Linked DNA regions of Arabidopsis thaliana. The protein of the gene in region 1 interacts with the protein of each later gene in a pairwise test. Each region holds a gene or a part of one and is shown on either strand. Other genes may lie near its edges.

The links. Proteins that work in one complex are often made in the same cells at the same time.
Region 2: the proteins of AT5G15500 (region 1) and PRA1.C interact in a protein complementation assay, tested with the Arabidopsis thaliana proteins (one large-scale study listed by BioGRID).

Annotation. Positions count from the first base shown.
Region 1 is NC_003076.8:5,031,703-5,035,459, forward strand, and holds the start of AT5G15500 (Ankyrin repeat family protein), read right to left. Parts: upstream 1,839-3,757; 5' UTR 1,742-1,838; coding exon 1,426-1,741; exon of another isoform or gene 1,147-1,425; coding exon 89-1,146; 3' UTR 1-88. Other genes in the region: AT5G15510 (TPX2 (targeting protein for Xklp2) protein family), read left to right, coding at 2,418-3,262, 3,345-3,390, 3,503-3,595, 3,691-3,757.
Region 2 is NC_003075.7:14,532,296-14,535,651, forward strand, and holds PRA1.C (prenylated RAB acceptor 1.C), read right to left. Parts: upstream 1,779-3,356; 5' UTR 1,725-1,778; coding exon 1,152-1,724; 3' UTR 642-1,151; downstream 1-641. Other genes in the region: AT4G29654 (Protein kinase superfamily protein), read right to left, coding at 131-159; EMB2752 (embryo defective 2752), read right to left, coding at 2,200-2,319, 2,685-2,876.

The sequences.
Region 1 (3,757 bases):
TGTAAATAGGTTTACCCCGAGTAGAGATTTTACACATTATAGAATAAAAATACAAAAGCAACAATAAAATAACAAGAGGAAATTAAGATTACCTAATCACATACCGATTAGGCGCAACACCTCTAGCTTGATCCAACGTAGTGAAACCTTCCCAAACCAATCCACTCTTGGGTCCACGTTGCTTGGTTCTCTTAGACTGCACCCATTCCCAAAACCAAACTACCAATCCCCAAATTATAAGAACCACGATCGCACCCACACCTGCGATCGTGTACGCTCTTGCGTTCGGCTTGATCACATCCCCTGCAACAGAGTAAGCCAAGACCATAGGAACGAACAGAGGGTAATACCAAAACATACTCTCTTGTCCTAAACTCAACAAACGTATCATCATCTCAATCGCAAAGCAGAACCCCGCACTGTTCCACAACCATAACCAGATAAAGTAGACCTCGTCCATAACCACTGAACCCGCTTTCGGACCGCTTGTTCCACTCTTTTGACCACCGCCATCAGACACGCCTCCGGGAGGTTGGAGAACCGTCTGATATGTAGCTGTGACGATGAGAGTTGCGACCACTAAAAGAGCGTTTCTTCTCTCTTCAGAGATCCAAGAATAAAACCGAATCTTCTTCGTCCGTCTCGATTCTCTCCAAGAAAGCTGCGACGCGAGTATATCCGATGTTGTCTTAATCTTGACAAGAGAAACCGAACGTTTTCCACCATGTCTCTTAACCATTCTCTCTATCTCTCTGTTATTGTGTAACACAGCAATGTCGAACACGGTTAAACCGTTCTTGTTCTCAATGTTGACGTTAATCTTGGAGCTCTCTAACAACAATTTCATAGCTTGACGATTGATCTCGTACGCCGCGAGATGTAAAGGCGTGTTACCGTCTTTGTCTCTTCGGTTTATGACTCTTGTCTCGATCCACTCTGCATCTTTTTGACACAATCTTAAGATCCATCCCATGAGAACTTTAAGAACGCTTAATCCTTCTCTTTGGTCGTAGTTATTCACGGCGATGTGAAGAGCGTTTTCTCCGTTCACATTTGCGTCCACAATGCTTTCGGGACAACCCAAGAAGAATTCTGACATCAGATCAATCTTCTTTCTACTTACCGCAACTAGCAATGGCGTCATACCTTTTTTGGACAAGAAAAATGAATTAAACACTCCTGGTATAACCAATCTAGTTCATGATCTGACCATACAATATCGACATAATGACTAGTCAAAAGCAACAATAGACTGAATTCAAACTAGTATTCAATGGACTGTTCGTCCTACTTCAATACTATCTCCAAGATTTGAATTTACTAGATACATATTATAACATTAGTTCGGATTGATTAGAGCTAAAGCTTTTGGAAAAAACTAAGAAACATAATTAAGGGTTCAACAAAATAAGTGAGTGTACGTACCATGTCTCCCTTTAATACGAACAAGACTTGGATCAACCTTAACTACTTCAAGTACTAACCAGAAGTGACCGTGTTCCACGGCGAGGTGTAACGGTGTAAGTCCGTCGGCGTTAAGTTTCCGAGCAAAAGATGGTTTCAAGTTCATCATTTCCATGGCAAACTCTGTTTTTCCATTGACGGCTGCCACATGGAGAGGAGTATTAACGAAGGGCACGTGGTCGGTTTTATCAAGAACGTATGGATCTTCATGGATTAGTTCGTATAGTAGATCGATGTTTCCAGATTTAGCAGCAGCTTCTAATGATCTTTGGTCCATTAGTGACTCAAGAGAACAGAACGACGATGCGAATTATATTTTTGGTGATTAAATATGATGATGAAACTTAATTGGCTACGAAATGATAACTCGTTTGTGAATGAAGGAAGTTCCCAAAAAAAGGAAAAGAGTGGGAAATTATAGGTGACGTGGCAGTATACGTGGACACGTCAGTATCTGATCATTTAATCCAACGGTTGATATTAGATAAATAAGAATTATTGTCTGAAAATTTGATGTGACATGGAGTACAACGTGGATCATATCGGCTCCAGCATCTATTTGATCTAATGGCTAAGATTGTACAAAATAACTCGCTGCTAAAGTGTTGAAATTCGGATGTGACGTGGCATTAAACGTGGATTAAAATCATCATAATCATTAATTTGACAATCTAACGGACAAGATTAGGAAAATAATTATTTATTACTAATCTAAGTTTATTTATTAAAAAAGCACCAAAAAGACTAGCCGTTATTAGAGAGCGTCCAAAGAGCGCCGCAACGGTCACATTTTTCCCCCAAATCTATCTTCTTATTCGATTTACAATACTCCATAGCAAGAACAAACCCTAATTCTTCACCTCCGATCAATTTTTTTTTTGTTGGAGAGATTCTCAAATCTAGATCGATTACTGTTCGTGTTACTCTCTTGATTCCAGATTCTGTTATCTTCGATGGAGTCGTTGACATTGAAGAATGGGAAAGCAGGGACTCCGGTGAAGGATCGGAGCAAGTTTCAGTCCAATCAAAAGATTTCCAGATCATCGGAGAATGCAAACCCTAACATTTCACAAGCGAGTCCTTCTAAATCACCGCTCATGAAATCTGCGAAGAAATCAGCGCAGAAGAATCCGAGTCCGAGCCCTAAACCTACCCAGGCGGTTTTCTCTCCCCGGAATCGGATCAGAGAGAGGAAGTTTGTTGTGGTGGCGAAGAAGAATTCGAGGAAAGGGAAGAAGGAGCCAGCGATTACAGAATCCAAGGCAGCTGAGATAGATTGTAAATGCGGAGAGAGGAAGAAGGGGAACATGAAGTGTGTTTGTGTTGCATATGAAACTCTGCGTGCTTCGCAAGAGGAGTTCTTCAAAAATCGAATTGAATCAGAGGAGGATAAGGAAGCTTTGGAGGAATGCTGTAATCTCGGAAATGGCGATGAACTAGAAGGAAAAGAATCTGGAGAACCGGAGAAAACAGGCGTTTCCACAATGAAGAGATCAAGAGCTAAGGTGGTGGAAGAAGCACGGCAAAGTGTGCCTGTATCTGGTAAAGTGATGAATCTTGTAGAAGCATTTGAGAAACTCACTTGCTTTAGTAATTCAAAGACTGCCAACAAGATAGAAGAGAATCAAACCGAAGAGGATACGAAGAAACCTGTGAAATTGGAATTCTTGGAGGGTGAGAAAGAGAAAAACCCATGGAGTTCTTCGTTTTGTCCATCTGAAATGGTCTTAACAGCTAAGAATCTGGGTTTAGACCCCAATGCTTCGATTTCTTCGTCCTGGGACAGCACCCGTGGCAGGTTAGTTTGTTGTTGACTAAGAGATCTCACTGAAATTATGAACTTGTCTTGTTCTGAATAGTTTGATATTGTGATGTTTCAGTGTTTTGAGTGGAAGTTCAAATGCTGGCAGGAGAAGTAGAAGAAATGTAAGTGTCCTGCATGCAGCATCTGAATTTTCTTAGCTGTTTAATGGTTGTCTGTCTTGCTTAGTATGTCAGTATAGTTTAATAATCATTTTGATATTTCTGTTTATGGCAGAGCATGGAGTCATCGACTACAATGGGAAGTAGAAGATCAAAGAAGAAGCAGGTTAAGGTCACTTCATTGAAGCCGTTTAAGCTTAGAACTGAGGTATGAGTTTCTTTAGATTAAAACTAAAGAAAAATTTCGAATTTTATGGTGGAAATTGAGTCATGACAGTTGGTTGGTCTTTTGTCTCTCTGCAGCAAAGAGGTAAAGTGAAAGAGGAAGAGTTAGCAAAAAAGATACACGAAATAACAATGGAGGAAGAAA
Region 2 (3,356 bases), on another chromosome or scaffold:
TTTGTAAAATTTGAGGATATTAAATGATCGTATTTAAAATTATTGTCAAAATACTTAGATTTGTTATTTTTGATCCAAAAAGTTCAAAAATATATATAAAGCATGATAATAACGAAATAATAAACAATACATCCTCAAACCAACTATTTTAAAATGCATAGAGTTTGGAGGAATAAGGAGAAATCTTGAAAATTTATATATATTTTGCTTGTAGTTTGCTTTTGTTTTTCTTATGTTTTATCTTCTTTTTTTGCTTTAAATTAAACATGATTAACAAACTTTATATTTTGGTAATTCTAGAACACTATAACATATTAAAAAAATTATAAACAAAATAATTCTTCATAGACAATATAAACCTATGTAATTATCTCTTTGAAATAAATAAATTAAATATGTTTATTAGGAATAAGTCTTAGTTGGTTTTGCTTAACATTTACCAAATGTAAAAATATTGTATTCACTCTGGGACTAGGCCGGTTGATATTAGCGAGACGTCTAAACCACCTCAGATATTTTAGAGAGTTCCTTTTAAACACTTATCTCTTTTACAATTATCTAATTTTTTTACTAAAATAAAAATTTAATTGTATAATCAAATTATAGTAAAATATTAATATTTTTTTTATTTGAGAATTTTTTGGGGTTCTCTTTGTTGGAGATGGTCTAACTACTTCTTCATGTCGTGTCTAAAAAGTAAAATGGTATATATAGCCAAATCCCTATTGCATTTGAACTTGATAATTGTTGTGATAAAATTAAAAACTAGATCATTGTTCATATAAAGTTACAACCTTTCAATTCGTAATTGTTGAAAATGAGAGAATCGATTGGATAATTTGTAATAAGTGATAACTGAGAAGAGGATCACACTTGTCTTCGTTATTGTATTGGCTTGTTGGAGATAATTAGATAGGAATTCTATCATAGGATAATGTTTTTAATCAGCACGCAAAATTGCCTTTTATTTGTCACCAAGGTCTCTGACATGCATCAGTACATCAATATCCACATCCTGAATTTTGATCGCAAAAGAGCTCAAGTTCTTTTTGCAGCATGTTAACGTTCCTTCACTGGATATGCGTTGTTTTGAACTATGTAGACAAATTCAGGAAAGAAAAACTGAAAATCTTGTGCTCAATTGTGAAGACTTAAGAGGAAGAAGAAAGTGACGAAGATGATGTGTTCATTGCCACTTTCTCTTCATCATCTTCCAAGACGAACAACATCTCTGTATTCCTCCTACACATGCCATGAACCAGAACAACGGGCAAACCAGCCAAAACCCCGATCACAATACCGCGGGATACATCTGTTAGTAGAAATATACCGATCGTGAGGACCAACAAAACCAGCACCAAAGTAGAATCATCGATCACACTGCCAAATATCACCCATGGTTCATTATCACGGGAGTAGACATATAGCCATGCTACTATCAAGATAACAAAGACGGAAAGGTGGACGGGTTGCCAAAGCATGCTGATGAAGATACTAACAATGAAGATAACAATGTAGTTGGTTCGAAAGATCATGATGTTGGATTTGATTCGTTCAGTGGCAACGCTAAAGGAGATAGGAAGGCTAAAGGCACTACATTGGACAAGTTCAAGCCATGGCCTTTGAGAGCTAAGACCTAACGAGATCAATTCTTTGGCTCGTCCTAATAAGCTCAGGCTCGACGAAGCATTTTCTTGGGATGGTATAGTGCCATAGGTTGTCATATTCTTTCACAAGCAACAAACAAAAAAAAAAAGGAAGGAAAGAAACAGAGTACGTCCCCAGAGGAATCTATATGGACTAAAGAATGTGAAGCAACCTAATTTGAAGAGAAAAATCTGTGTTGGCTCAATGTTTCTGAGGTAGTTAGATCATCTATCTTATTTGGGAATGTTTTATTTCAGGACACCAGAAGAGAGGCAGATACAAGCAGAGATATTCAAAGGAATGAATGGATACCCTTAAACTTCTCAAATCAAATCCTTATACTATAACGAGACTGTCATTACATGTAATTTCTAGAAAATAGATTCTTAAGAGAGTCATTAGACTCGAAATACAGACACAAACATTCTACTGAACCAAAAGAAGTTTTTTGATATACATATACTAGTGAACCAGTATAAATCCATTTATATCTGCGTATCAAAGTCGGAGATACATCCTTCACCATAGTCTCTGATAGCCTAATCGTTAGCTTCACTGGCTGCTAGCATCTGAAGCAATAGCCTCACCACGATAAACTCTCCATGGTCCTCGATAGAATACTGGCTTCATCAGAGGCACTGTTTTCCCTGGGTGCTCTTCCCAAAACTTCTCCTGTTTACAGAGAGTGGAGTAACATAAAGTTCACACTCAAACAAGAAACATAACTGATACTAACACAAAACAGTGTAAGAAACACATTGACAAAGAATACAATATACTACAGAACAATGAATTAGATTAGATACTAATCAAGACGTAAAAGCTTCATTGAAAGACCTAATGAACCATTCCCATGAAAAGCAATTCAAGTATAGTTCTTTTCATGATCACACAATCCTTTATTAGTAATCAACAATGAATCATTTCCAATTTTATCACATTTCGAACCCTAACATTTACCAATCACGAGAATCAAATTAGAACCCACAAATCTAATAGCAATTCCGGGCCTGAATCGATAACAATACGAAGCTGACCTTGTAGAGCTGCTCTGTAACTGCAGCGCCGATGACGCCGGTGTAAAAGGCGGCGACATAGATAGTAATCAAAGTTGTGAAGGTTTTTGGTCGACGGTAAGGTTCGATCATTTCCCAAACAGCAAATCTCTCGAACTTATTGTACTTATAATCAGCATATTTCCTCCATAGTTGGCTCCACACTCCTTGCATCTCTCAGATTTCTCTCTTCTCAAACCTTCGCCGAATTTTGGATTTCTCCGTCTAGCTGTTTCGCGGCGGCGCGTGGGAACCTGAGAAAAATCTGATATCAAAAGGCAAGACTTTAAACGTTAAAACGTTTACCAAACAGTCCTCTTATTCCTACATGTTTTAGTTTTCAGCCCTTAACTTATCTTTAACACTTAAAAGTCTTGAGCTCACATTTGTAAATTTTTAAAAAATCTTATTTGATATGATTCTTGTAAATTTGTAAATTGTAATCACAACACATGATTATTGTAACCATTGTGCTATGTATTTGTTTTTCACTATCGTTCGGTAAGTTGAGAAAGTTATAAATTTACCCCAAAACTATGGAAATGAGACTTATGCAACCTCACATGACTTCATCAATAAGCTTGCTTTAAAGCAATAAAGAACAGCAGTAGTGAAAATACATTTGCAATTGACTATTAGCAGAAGAATCGTAAC